2 linked regions of the Diceros bicornis minor genome follow. The protein of the gene in region 2 interacts with the protein of the main gene of each other region in a biochemical or structural test. Links are inferred from orthologs where the notes say so. Each region holds a gene or a part of one and is shown on either strand. Other genes may lie near its edges.

Region 1 (6,960 bases), on a different chromosome or scaffold from region 2:
CTCTGGCGGCTGCAGGGAGGATAGACTGGGGGGGCGTGGACGGACTGGCGCCGCGGGACCGCGGCGGAGGCGGCTGCCTCCGGGCTCGCGAAGTGATGGGTGGTCTGGACTAGTGTGTTGGCAGCGGAGGTGGAAGAAACGAACGGATGCAGGTCAGCTGGATTCAGCGGAGGGGAACCAATGCACTGATTTTGGATTGGACGAGTGGGTGGAGGGAGGAGGAGGAGGTGTGGGAGAGTCCTGGAGAGGGGCGGGCTTGGAGGGACAAGAGAGCGGCCCTGTCACCCGGTGATGCCCAAGAGCGGATGAGTCTGGAGTTCAGCAGAGGAGCAGGGAAGTTTAAACTGGCCCCCTGTCCCTGGTACACAGATGGTGGGAAGGAAGGACCTTGGCACTGGCCGGCTCAGCCCTCTGAGGTCCCAGCTCTGGGAACAAATCCTGAGCTGTTAAGAAAAACCCAGCAGGTAGGGCAAGTTCTAAAACTTTCCTTGAGAAGCCACACTGCTCAAGGCACAGCCTGGTGATTTTTCAGGGTTTTTTTTTTTTTTTTTGGTGAGGAAGATTGGCCCTGAGCTAACATCTGTGCCCATCTTCCTCTATTTTGTATGTGGGTCGCTGCCACAGCGTGGCTGATGAGTGGTGTAGGTCCACACCCCCGGATCTGAACCCACGAACCTGGGCTGCCAAAGTGGAGTGCACGAATGTAACCGCTATGCCGCGGGGCCAGCCCGTATGCTCACACTTTTAACACAAATGATAGCATGCTATCCACACTGTTATGCACAGTGCTTCTTTTCCTTAACAGTAAATTCTAGTGATCTTTTCTAGTTTCTTTTTTTTATTGTGGTAAAATATACATAAAATTTACCATTTCAGCCATTTTTAAGTTCAGTGGCATTAAGCACATTCACATGGTTGTGCAACCATCACCACCATCCATCCCCAGAACATTTCCATGTTCCAAACTGAAACTCTGTCCCCGTTAAACACTAACTCCCTATCCCCCTCCCCAGCCCCTGGCACCCGCCATTCTACTCTCTGTCTCTACGGATTTGCCTATTTTGGACATTTTATAGAGAAATGATGCCACACAATGTTCATCCTTTTTGCGTCTGGGTTATTTCACTGAGCATAGTGTCTTCAAGGTTCATCCATGTTGTGGCTGTGTCAGAATTTCACCCCTTTTTATGGCTGAATAATATTCCATTGTCTGGATACACCACGGTCATCCGTCAATGGACACTTAGGTTGCTTCCACCTTTTGGCTATTGTGAATCATGCTGCTGTGAACACGGGTGTAGAAATATCTGTCAGAGCCCTTGCTTTCAATTCTAGTTTCTTTCTGAAGCATCAGAAAGCTATCCTGTTGGCTGAAATATCAGAAATGAAGCAGCTGACAGGGGCCGGCCCCATGGCCTAGTGATTAAGTTTGTACACTCCGCTTTGGCAGCCCAGGTTGGCAGGTTCAGATCCTGGGCATGGACCTACACCAGTCGTCAGCCATGCCGTGGCGGTGACCCACATACAAAATAGTGGAAGACTGGCACAGATGTTAGCTCAGGGCTAATCTTCCTCAGCAAAAAAAAAAAAAAAAAAAGAGGAAGATTGGCAATGGATATTAGCTCAGGGCGAATCTTCCTTTGCTGAGGTCACACCAGTAGGACGAGGTGGAGCTGGGACTTGAACCCGGGGTGCCTGGTCCCCTGTTCAGCAGAGAGGAAGGCAGGAGGGCAGAAGGCAGGACCAGGGTCCTGAAGCTGTGAGGTGCCTGTGTGTGTGTGGGGGGGGGGTGAGATGAGACCTGAGGGACTGGGGGAGTCTCAGAACATGGGGAAGCCCGAGATCCTGAAATCACGCGGTTCTCTATTTTTCTTCCCCAAACAAAGAAAATGACTTTGGAAGGAGACACGGCCACCACGGATGCTCACTCAGGCTCCGCTGTGACACCTGGCAGTTCCGAGTCCCGGAAGAGGCCCACCTGCACACCATCCTCGCCTGAGCCCCCGGAATTCAGCACTTTCCGGGTCTCCCCGTGAGGCCGAGGATCGGGGGCCCCTCTCTCTGTGTCCGTGCGCCCCCCATTCAGCCCTCTCCCTTGAGCTGGCCGGGTGCGTGGGGCCAGAGGTCCCTCCAGCTACTTCGGGGGCCTGGCTGTCTCTCTCTCAGGGAATTGAACAGAGGAGACGAAGGGGGCCCCTGGCCTTGGCACCTACCTCACAGAGGAGCAGGAGTGGGAGAGGGGGCGCGGGCATTGGCCTGGAGCCTGGATGGAAAGCAGGAAGCTTCCTTTTGGATTCCCAGCTTCTCAGACCTCCAGGGAAAGAGACGTTAGGAACCCTCTGGCCCCCAGCTGGGCCACAAGAGGTCTGAGCTCTGCACACACCCCTCTGATTCCCCCCATCTTCCAGCCACACCTGACTGGGCCAACCCGACTGGGTTTTTGGATCATGGGGTACCCAGGGTATGTTCTGAGTGTCTGCCCTGCTGGCATGCCTAAGTTATTAATTATAACGCGTGTTGAGCTCTTTCCAAGGCGTCTGTGGAGTGTAATCCTTCAAGCCCGGGATCTCTGGGGTCCAATCACCCGATGCCTGGGGGGAGGGGGAGTACCCCTCAAATGCATGCAGTCAGGGTGGTGTGTGGGGAGGCCCATGGGGGTGCGGGGAGGGGGCAGTGCCACGCGGAGTCTCTGCTCAAGTCCTTGCACTGGTGGGTAGAGGAGGTGGACTGATGAGGATGGGGCAGAGGGACACGGGGAGAATGAGTAGGTCCAGGGAAGGGCGCGAGCTGGGCAAGATGGGAAGAGGCCGCAAGCCTCTCTGGGTCCCCCAAAACGGAGTGGGGCCCTGGAGCAGTGGAGGGGGGACTTGGAGGGAAGATGTGTGTGGATGCTCTGCTGGGTTCACTGGCCAGCCATCACTGGGGGAAGGGAGAGTAACTGGGGGAGGGAAGGGGCTAAGGGAGGGGTCCAAGAATATTTTGTGGGGGAGGAGACCGTGAAGGGCCGAGGATGGAGGAGGAGGGCGCTGTGGGAAGGGGACGGAGACGATCGGGAAGAGACAAGGCGCGGTGGACCGCCGGGGAGAGGGCTTTCCCACAGGCTGTTCACGCCCTGCGAGAGGCCGAGCCCCACCGCAAACTGCTTTCCCAGCCCGGCGGGCTGGGGGCGTGGCCACGGCGGGGCGTGTCCCTAATCCTGGCCCCGCCCCTCACGCCGGCCCTCCTGGAGAGCCAGGTGCCTCACAAAGCGAGGCCCTGTGGGCGGGAGCAGGGCCGGGATAGGGGCGGGGCCCAGCTGCGACGAGGCCCCGCCCCTCCGCGTGCCGCCTCACAAAGCCGGGCGGGGCCAGGGGCGGAGCCCAGCCTCAGGGGCGTGTGGACGCCGGCGGGCGTCAGACCCGCCCCCGCCGTTCCCCGGGCCGGGGAGCCGCCTCACAAAGCGCGGCCGTTGGCGCGGGGCGGGGCCCGGGGCGTGTCCGCGAGGCCTAGCCCCGCCCCCTAACGCGCGCTCCCGCCCCTCCCCGCCACCCCCGGTCGTCCGCACCCGCACCGCCTTACACAGCGCGGCCGTCGAGCCGCGCCGGGCTGGGGGCGTGGCCCAGGCTGGGGGCGTGTCCGCGCGGCCGAGCACCGCCCCCTGACGCACGCTCCGGCCCCCGCTCTTCCTGGGCGGTGGAGCCACCTCACAAAGCGGCGACCGTTCGCGCGGGGCGGGGCGGGGCGGGGCCGACTCCGCCCCCCGTCGCGCCTGCTCCCCGCGCCAGAGCCGCCGGCAGGGGGCGCTGCGCCGCGGGGCCGGGCCGTGGCGGCGGTGGCGGCGAGGCGGCGCGTGGCCTGCAGGCGGCGCTGCCCGGCTCGGCCTCGGCCTCGGCCTGCGCGGCGGCGGCAGCGGCGGCGGCGGCGGCGGCGGCCTGGGCCCGGGCGCGGCGGCGGCGGCGGCGGCGGCGGCGGGGCCTGGAGCCGGATCTAAGATGGCAGCGGCGGCGGCGGCGGCGGCGGGGCCGGGCGCGGGCGGCGCGGGGCCGGCGGTCCCGGGCGGCGCGGGGCCCTGCGCGGCCGTGTCGGTGTTCCACGGCGCCCGCCTGCTCACCATCGGCGACGCGAACGGCGAGATCCAGCGGCACGCGGAGCAGCAGGCGCTGCGCCTCGAGGTGCGCGCCGGCCCGGACGCGGCGGGCATCGCCCTCTACAGCCGTGAGTGGGGCCCGGGGCCGGGGGGCGCGCTGCGGGGTCCGTGGGGCCGAGCCCGGGAGGGGCCCCGAGGAAGGGGTGCGCAGGGACGATGTCAAGGGACAGAGAGGAAAGAGGGCGTGCGTGGTGGCCGGAGGCGGCCGGAGTGCGCAGGGAAGCGGGAAATGGGGAGTGAGGGCCCTGAGATTGGGAGGGGTGGGCAGGAAGTGGGGGGCCGAGAGTGGAAGGGGAGTTGGGCGGAAGCTGGGGGGAAGGGAGGGGAGGGGGCCCGGGGTGGGCGAGAGGTGGGAGTCTGGGTGCGGGTGGGGCCGCCCCGGGGGGGAGGAAGGTGGGCTGTGGGCAGCCTCTGGCCATCTCGGGGGACCCCCTGGACCGCTATGGACAGTCGGAAAGTGGTGCCCAGTCTGGGGCGGCCTGCAAGACCCGGTTCCAGCCATCTGGAGGGCTTGGCCTTGCGGACCCCCGAGTGGGAAACTTCTAGATCTGGGGAGAGGGCCCATGCGAGCCGCTGGAGGTGCCCCTGGTGGAAACGTGGACGGGGAGGGCCCCGTCTTGCTGCCCGGCTCCGAAGTAAGAGGTAACCCAGCCGCCTCCTCCTCCGCCACGGTTCTCCGATCTTCCTTTTGGGGGATGTGAGAAGCTGGTTATCTATTCAGAAGCTAGTTTCAAAACTGATGTTTCAGTGGAAAAAAGAAATCACGAACGTGTTGGCCAAGGACCCCGAGTCTTCCTAGTTCATCCGTTTTCTTTCTCTTGTTCCTCTGGCTTCTCTGTCCCCTGATGCCACTGTTCACGTTTTGCTATTCTGTTTCATTCAGTTTTGTCCCTCAGGGTTTCTTGCAGTGACGCTCTGAGGAGGCCTTTGGTGCCATTAGCCTGTGTGAATATTTTGCCACTTCGGGAACGGGGTGTTCGGAAGGGAAGTGTGTGGAGTGGTTGGTTCACACAAGGTTCTCCCCCCTCCTCGACTTGGAAGATTTAAACTAAGGGAGCTGTGTCTGTTTGCCAGTGTCGCATCTCTCTTGCTGGGGCAGAGGTTGGTCCTCTTGGAGCAGAGGAGAGGGAAGAAGTGTATGCTGGGTGGGCATCAGAGCCCAGGACAGACACTTAAGCTCCCTCTTAATCTCAGCAGGATCCCCCAGCTGATAAGGATGGCCATTCATTCAGCAAGAATTAACAGGGAACAGAATAAAGTCAGGCAGCGTTTCTCAAACTGGGGTCCCAGGGCTGCTCCTCAAAAGAGTTCCAGGAGAGTCAATTTTTCCTTTGTAAATAAACTTTTTTTGATTTTAGAACAGTTTTAGGTTTATAGAATTATTGGGGAGATAGTACAGAGAGTTCCCATATACTCCACACCCAGTCTCCCCAATTCTTCACATCTTTCTTTGGGAGTTTGTACTTCTGTGTTTTTGTTTTGTGGATAATCTCGAAATGATTCTGAGTTATAACACTTCTCTTTTCGAGGTAATTCGTAACTGAAGCGTTCGGAAGGAGGAGAAAGTCCACGTTTCTCAAACTGAGATCTTCTGTCTGGGATGATACAGTCTCAGGAGTCAAAGAACTTTTTTCCTTTATGCTCAGATAACGTTGGTGTGGGTTCTGGAGTCAGCTGAACCTGGTTCTGATAGTTTCCCAGGGCTGCCGGAACAAACTTGGTGGCTTAAACAAAAAGGGATGCACTGTCTTACAATCCACGGCCAGAAGTCCGAAATCAAAGTGTCAGGGAGGCCACACTCCCTCCAGAGGCCCTGGAGGAGAATCTTTTCTTGCCTTTTCCAGCTTCCGCGGGCTGCATGCGGTGCTTAGCTTGCGGCAGCACATCTCCGGTCTCTGCCTCTGTCTCCACGTGGCCTCACCCCTGTGTCTCTCTGTCTCTTGTCCTCTAAGGACACCTGTCATTGGATTTAGGGCCCACCCTAAATCCAGGATGATTTTATTTTTAAGAGCCTTAAGGTCATCTGCAAAGACCGTTTTTCCAGATAAGGTCACTTTCACAGGTTCCTGGGGTCAGGGCTTGGACATATGTTTTAGGGTCCACTACGTGGGCTAGAGCGGTGCCCGCCAGTCGCTGGGGGTCTCTGTGGCTCATTGGTGGAGCGGGGGTGATGAAAGGACTGTGTGGCACAGCGTGTTTGCTCCATAAGTGAACACTTCTGTGGAGTGGCACCTGCTCCCGTAATGGGCTGGTGATGGCGTCCAAGTTGGCTGGTCGCTGCCCAGGGCGAGGCCGCCCTGGTTCCCGAGCAGCCTGGAGCACGCGGTGCGCCGGAGGCATTGCTCTGAATCGTGCCTGGGTGGGGGAGTGCAAAGTCCCAGGGCTGGGGCACAGGGCTGTGCACCTGGATCTGAGAGCACTGGGCGCTGGCTGACGGTCCCCTGGAAAAGTCAGAGATGGTCCAGCCACTGGGGGGATGCCTGGGGACGTGGCAGCTGGACAGGTCAAGGAGGAGCGCCCCTCATGACTTGGGGGTGAACCAGGCTGCTGGGGGCTTTAGGCCTTCTCTTGGGATGAACTTCCTTCACTGGCCTCAGCGTGTTCCAACCTGGACCCTTCTGGGATCTGGATGCCTTGGCCAGCCCTGTTCCGCTCACCTGTCCCTCACGAGGCGGCATCCTGCAAGCTGCTTGTGATTCCACACCCCTGAGATTCGAATCTCTGTGTGGATGGGGACAGGGACGTGGGCCGAGACACCCACAGGAATCTCCCAGTGCCTCACACGTGGGAGGTGAGCCCGAGGTGTCCTTGGTGCTGGCGAGGGTTCTGAACGT
Region 2 (7,523 bases):
CACTAGATGAATTGACAAGACAGAGAGTTAAATTTCTTTCAAGAAAAAAACACTATAGAAAGAAAAACAGGATCGACGCTTGTGGTTTACCAGCAGCACCATTAACTAAGATGGAAATGTCATCAGCAAATTCCACCAAGTTTTCAGCCTAAATGTAAATAGTTTTTCTAAGCCATCTAGGGAAACACAGGGCATAAACTTTTAAATTATGCCAAAGACTAATTAAAATAGATATGCCATAGATGTAATTGAATTCAACCTTATTACCCATTTGAGAGGATTGGTTTTAAGGATCAGTCTCACCCTTTAGTGCTTTTCTACAGCCATAAAATACAAGTGGATGTCTCCCCCACCCAATTCAGAGACACCCTGAAACTGAAGCCAATGCACCGAGAGGGCATTATGTTATATGACACATCCTCTTTAAAAGCCCAGGCTGTCTGACATTTGAAGAAATGTCAAATCCCAAGGGCCCGAATCCACTGTGACACATTCTGTTTATTATGTAGCAGCTTGAAGTTGGGGACTCAATGTGCATCTAACTCTACAAAGTTGTGTATTACTTAACGGGCGCTTTCTGATAAGACATAGAGGAAAACATCTGAAGTAAATGACTCTTGATGTTTAGCATGTTATCCTTACCACGACCTTGACAAATCAGATAAGTTAAGACACGGTTCTCTTTAAGTTGCTGCACTTGATGTAAAAAGACCACTGCCTTAACTCTATCATTTTCTTAACTCTAGTTTGGGGATGTTTCTGAGATACCTCCATAAATATTTCTCCTTGCAGGCACATTTTGAAAACTTATAAAGTATCTCTGTTATTTTCCAATTCTTACCAAAACTAGTAGGATGAAGGCATTTGAGAGAGATTGATTCATGTGAAAGTTTCATAAAAAAGAAACATCTCTACAACTCTGAGTTTACTCTGTAAAGGCAACATAGCCATATTATTCAAGAAAATGTCAAAGAATTTTGCATTATTGTGTTACTGCCACCACATGAATTTTCAACCCTCAACTTTCATCAATCACAACAGAATTTCTGGCATTTGGAACTAATTCTCATGGATTTTAATACCACAGAAATGGAATCTAAATTATTTATCAGTCAATGCTCAGAGGTTGTAACTGGGATATATTCAAGGTTAGACATCAAAACTCTGGGAAGAATTAAGATTGAAACACAAGTTTATAAAGATCCATATTCAAGAAGATAAAAAAATAATTTGTAACTTCGTAAATGTAGATCATACATAACTGTCAGTTTCCCCAATTAAGGGCACCTCATAAACCCAATGGTCTCTTCATGTAGCTGCTTTTTCTCTCTGCACCCTTAGGCATTTCTGGGCATCTAAAATCTATCAAGACAAGTCTAAACCTCACCAGGAATGTACAGCACTGATAAGTACAAGAAAAATTCTAGTTCTCTGCTCTTTATAAGCTAATTTATAAACGTCTTAATATGGATACATTGTTTTATTCTACAGATATTGCTGCATCTAGTTGATAGCAAAGTTTCCTTAATTTAATAACAAAATTATGAACATGCACCAGAGAAAAGCATTTGAACTTCCTTCTACAAACAATCCCTCAGATTAATCACAGATAACTGTCTGGAAGTCTGTATCAGGAGCTTTAATCATCAGCGTCAACCTGAATATGAACAATTATTTCTTCCAAATAAGCTAGCCTTCCCTATTCAGGAAGAAAAAACCCAGTTATCCAAAAACAATAACTACAACAGAACATATTCTAATCACCTACTACACTGGTTTGCAAGGTACTTTTTTGAATGGCTCATTAAAATGATAACATAATTAATTGCACCTAACATATTAACGTGCATAGACCTAGACTGGTTATACTGTCTAGATGCTACCTGATGGCTATTCTCACAACAAAACAAGCAAAATGTAGCACTTCAGTCCTTACAGAAGGCTCACAGAGAACACCATCTGGGAAACCTTTTGCATTTAAGATTAAAGCTCCACACAAGGTTTATTGTTAGCCCCAGCATGCGAGAAGGAACGGAGGGTGGAGGGGAGCGCTTACTTCGAAAATGCTCTGCAGCGTAATAATAGACATCCTCATAGCCCTCGTGGTAATCCTCTTCTGGTCGGTACTTTTTTCCCTTTCTTCTCCTAGATCTTCTTATCTGCTTGACAAAACCCAGGAAGCGGTCCATCTCTCACTCACCCTGCAGCCTGGCTCAGCCAGCACCAGAGCGGAGCACAGCCCAGCTGCTCCGGGAGCTGGGGGAGCATGAACGCCCAGCACCAACCCGCGCCGGACGCGCTACCCTTCCATCTGCCTCTGTGCCACCATCAACGCAGAGAATCGAGCCATGGGAGGGGGGACATCACAGCGATATGGGGTTGACAAGATTTCTTACTTTGCTCAATAAACTGTCAAATGTGCAACTTAGAAAAAAAAAAAAAGGAAAAGAGAGAGAAAGTGAAATGATAATGAAAGACTACGAGAAAAAACAAGCAGCAAAGCTTTGGACTTCAACACAAAACAGAACAAAGTTCAACAGGAGATTCAGCTGAGGCGAGAGGGGTGCCCGCGCTAGAAATGCCCTCTCCAGCGTCTCCATCATCGGGGCGGGGGTGGAGGAGAAGAGAGGGGCGGGGAAACTTGTTAGTCAATGGACTGAACCAAAGCTAGAGACTGCACCGACTCTTTCTTACCCGCTAATCCCACCCCCTAATCCTAGCGCCCCGATCGCAAAGCACGTGCTTGGGAAACTTCTTGGAAAGCTATTGTTTTGCAACGGGCAGACGGATTAACCCTTTGTGCGCGCTTGCATATCATATTCATGAGCAGCAAAGTGGTTTCATCCATATGTACTGCCTCTTGCTGACAAAAGTGTGCTGTACGTGTTAATTGGAGCAGCAGAGAGAAGGCTCAGCAGCTGCTTTCAAATGACACGTTTACCCGCTGGGCATTAATGTATTCCAATCGCTGTTTGATCTAAATATTGAAATGCGCTTCACAGAGAGGCTGCTCGTAGGCTAGGTACGGCAGATCACAGTAAGCAAATCAAGGAAACCACATGGTTTTAGAGAAGAGAAACACAAATAATCCAACTCGGCTTACACCAAACTCAAATCTGCACCTTTCTGAGTCGTTACACGTTTTAAAAATATATGAAAACAAATGGGCTAAATAGCAAATAAAACTTAGTTTTTGGTGAAGATGGAGGGGGGAGAGAAGTTTCAAAATATGTCACACTCTGTTCATCCTTTGTCTCTAAAATCACAAGCAATGTTTTCTCTAAGTACCACAATCAGAAACACTTCAGAGTAGACGAAGAGGTACTCTACAGTCTAGACAGGTCAGCGTCACTCATGGATCATTTTCTCTCTAGCTTCTTTCTTCAGCTCTTTAAACGAATGCAGATTTTTAACACTAGGAAAAATTCAATTTGTTTACAACATAATTAATCAAACATGTCAGCATATTCCCTACTAAACTAATAATATGCTGCAGCTCCCTGTTCCCAGAAACGTCATTTTTTAAAAAGCTGCCTACTGTATAAAGGTCGTCAATATCTATGCAATATCAAGTCTGTAGGAGGATTCCAGAGGGAAATGATTGCACTCTGCACTCTGTTAGATTCACAGGCAATCCACCTCTCTAAATTGAGACGGTTCTCTATTTTCAGATATTAATTGCTAATGATGGAGTAGGGAGACATTTACTTAGAGAGGTAAATATTCATCAACCAAGAATATTTCAGCTCTGAAATGTGTAAAAGTTAGGTTGAATGGTTACATGAATTTCCCCGATTCCTAGAGATTTCCCATTTTTTTTATGCCTATGAGTGAGTTTGTGAAGAGAAACACAAACTTAATGATGCTGACAAAAAGATGCTATAAAATGTTTTATGAATACCTTTAAACAAAAAATCACTTGTCCTTGGTTCCAAATCCTTTCTTTATAATTCTGACTCCCTCAACCAAAGTAAACTAAACAATTAAAAAACAGTGAACTACAACTTTGAAGATCTGGAGTCTAGATCTTGAATAGTCATTAAATAAGTGATGATAACAATACATAATCTCTTTATTTAATCCTCCTATCAACCTTTACAATGAGGTGATATTTCTATGGATGCAGAAGGAAGGTTCAAAGATGTCTTAGTGGCTTGTCCAAGATTGCGAAGGTTAACACTGCCAAGTACTACCTCGTACCAGGTACTTTTTTCATACAAATTCAGAGATTATCTTGTCTTTCTAAGAATTGTTTGCATTCCGTATTTCATTGTTTTCTATATGTTTGCTATTCACACGGGATTTGAAAATAGCTGACTTTCATTTTTAATTGGGCTAAACATATATTCTGGTGTATGTGATTAATTCGTCAAGTACACTTGACCCCAGAGATTATGCAGGCACCAAATTTTACCCAACTACGCCTGAATTATAACTCCTAAATTAGTGGAGTACACGTTCCTTAAGTTTTGTAGTTTTAAACTCCCAGTTTGATCTAAAAGGACTGACATTATAGAGCAGATGATGCTTCGATAGAGTGAAGATGCTTTTTACATAGACCAACTTAAAACATTCCGCTACAGTTTACTGATTTTTAATTTCAGTATTTAAAGAGAATTAGATTTTCTCAGGCAGTGGTAAGCAACTATTTTTGAATAGAATCAATGCAAAGTAAAATTGTCTACATACCAAACTTCATATTTCAGAAATAAACAGAAATTATGCTACAGCACCTTTCTATTATTTTCCCAGTTTTGAAGGATTTTATTTGGGAGGTTAACATTTTGGTATCTGATTATAATGACAAAATTTTTACACAAGATGAAGTTTGGCAGTGCTAAGGAAGAGTTTAGAGTTCAGCCATATACTTGGAGGGGTATGGTAGAGGAGAATAATCCTAGATGCTTGGGAAGCAGGAATAGGGCATCTGTTATTTAGAGGAGGTCTAGTTGGGTCACAAAGCATGAAAGAATGTGGCAGCATGCCATGTGAGGGAGGGGAAGCCTGTGTATATATGTCACAATTCAGAAGACAGAAGGCAAGACACTGCTGCTCTGCCTGAGGGGTGGTGCAGGTGGACCAGATCCTTGCATCAGCCTTCCTGTGTCCACCTCTCTGAATTTTTCCCATCTTCTATCCCAAATCCTCCATGTTTAGCAATGGAGGACCAATCTAAAATCTACAAGGACTTGCTGGTACGCAGCAGTTAGCTAACACCCCACAACAATTGAAAAATTAGTACAGTGAAGTTCAAGTCCACTCAGTTAGTTGTACTACTGCTTCTGTCGAGAAAATCGCCCTTTCACGCTGTAGCATGAACGCTGGTAAGTGGTGTGACTCACCAGCTATTGCACTCTTCGGTCTAAACAGATCAGACGGTTGAGAGGTTGCAAATGGCAGTTCACGGGACAAGTATCTCCCACAAATGTGTTTTGTTTGGCTCACATAAGTGTTGTTTGGTTTGTTTGTTTTTTTGAATTGGACCAATATCTAAAAGTCAGGAAATTCACAAATAATCAGACATTTGCTTTTTTCTTAAAAAGTCAAAAGATCAGGCAACTTTAGGCCCAATTCCAACATGGCAACTATTGATTAGAGCTGAGTGGTGGCTGCCAGCCATAAAATAACATATGCTTTCCTCTTAGTCACTGTCTTCTCCCCTCCCCGGGGCCAACTCTCTCAATCAGTTACCACCTGGCCCTGCAGGCATTGATGCCTGCGAACCCCGAACCTTGAACCTCGAACCTCGGGTGAGGTTCCAAAACACTGTCTGCTTTAAGAGAAATTTCAGCTCTTCTATATTTTCGTGTAAAGAAAGCAGATTACTATGACAAATTGGTTTTAGTTGAGCTAAATGTTCACTAAACTATAAAATTAAATTTCTTAGAAAAAAATTTGTTCACATGAGAAAATAAAGCAGGTTGAATTACTCAACAAAATGTGCTTCAACCAAGAACAGTAAATATATGTTAGTAAATATTTAAAAACAACAACAAAAAAGCTAATTCTTTTCTTCCTGAAAAGTAGGCAACTGCCTGAATAGCATTTACACAGTTTCCAAACTCTTCTGAATTAGATTCTCCATCCCCTTTTAGGAAAAGAGGAATAGACCAACTACTGAGATTAAATCTTCAATTTACACCCTTCCCTAGATCACTGATTAAGTAGTACCCTTCTGTGTTTACTTAGATTGAGTAATGGTTACAGTCTTTTCTGAGTAGCAGTATGGGACGTCTGGCCTACCAGAGAAATCTTTGAGACATTAAGTCAATCTAGCACTTTCAGATGCCACAGCGTTTGCACGTGTCGCCAAGAACTGCGGCAGAATCCCCGTGACCTTGGAGGAGACACTCTGACCCACTGAGGATGGCAGACAAGGGAATACCCGCTGGTCCCCGGCAACGAAGGTATTGTTAACCTTGCCAGATCCAACACAACTTTACTGTGCAAATAACTTGTAATATCCCCCTTCACCAGTCTAAATGCAATTCTAGATCACGGGACATATGCATACATAATTTAAACATAAAATGTCTTCATAATAATATATATTTAAATATATGTTTAATAATATGTATTTAAATTAGTAAATCTGAGGACACAACCACACCAGAAGATGTAGTTAGATCCTTGCACCTACTTCTAATGAATGATTTCAAACTTTAGAGATGATCAGAAGCCATTCCATACAATGTACAGAAAATACAAGGGTTGAGTCATAGGGACACCGCAGCAAAAATTAATATGTTTGCTCTATATTAAAATTGTGAAAAATACTTCATGTCAAGAGAATAAAATGACAAATCACAGACTGGGGGAAAATATCTGCAAAAGATACGTCTGATAAATGACTGTTATCCAAAATATACAATTCTTAAAACTCAACAATAAGAAAACAAACTACTTGATTAAAAAATGGGCCAAAGACTTGAACAGACTCTTCGCCAAAGAAGATACACAGATGGCAAAAAAGCATATGAAAAGATGTTCCACATCATATGTCATCAAGGAAATGCAAATTAAAGCAACAATGAGATACTACTACACACCTATTAGAATGACCAAAATCCAGAACACTGACAACACCAAATGCCGACAAGGATGTGGAGCATCAGGAACTCTCATTCATTACTGGTGAGAATGCAAAGTGGTACAACCAGTTTCGAAGACAGTTTGGCAGTTTCTTACAAAACTAAACATACTCTTACCATATGATCCAGCAATCACACTCCCTGGTATTTACCCAAAGGAGTTGAAAACTTATGTTCACACAAAAATCTGCACTCAGATGTTTATAGCAGCTTTACTCATAATTGCCAAAACTTGGAAGCAACTAAGATGTCCTTCAGTAGGTGAGTGGATAAATAAACTGTGATACACCAGATAACGGAATATTATTCAGTGCTAAAGAGAAATGAGCTATCAAGCCCCGAAAAGACATGGAGGAAACTTAAATGCACACTGCTAAGCGAAAGAAGCCAATCTGAAAAGACTACATACCATATGATTCCAAGCATGTGACA

Evidence for each region.
Region 1: the proteins of GRIP1 (region 2) and CARM1 form a complex in vitro, tested with the Homo sapiens proteins (2 studies listed by BioGRID). The link is inferred for Diceros bicornis minor from reciprocal best matches to the Homo sapiens genes GRIP1 and CARM1.

The regions. Positions count from the first base shown.
Region 1 is NC_080769.1:8,489,073-8,496,032, reverse strand, and holds the start of CARM1 (histone-arginine methyltransferase CARM1), read left to right. Parts: upstream 1-3,956; 5' UTR 3,957-3,971; coding exon 3,972-4,194; intron 4,195-6,960. Other genes in the region: C30H19orf38 (protein HIDE1), read left to right, coding at 1,887-2,036. UniProt on the Homo sapiens protein: Methylates (mono- and asymmetric dimethylation) the guanidino nitrogens of arginyl residues in several proteins involved in DNA packaging, transcription regulation, pre-mRNA splicing, and mRNA stability.
Region 2 is NC_080756.1:4,100,472-4,107,994, reverse strand, and holds the start of GRIP1 (glutamate receptor-interacting protein 1), read right to left. Parts: upstream 3,011-7,523; 5' UTR 2,190-3,010; coding exon 2,057-2,189; intron 1-2,056. UniProt on the Homo sapiens protein: May play a role as a localized scaffold for the assembly of a multiprotein signaling complex and as mediator of the trafficking of its binding partners at specific subcellular location in neurons.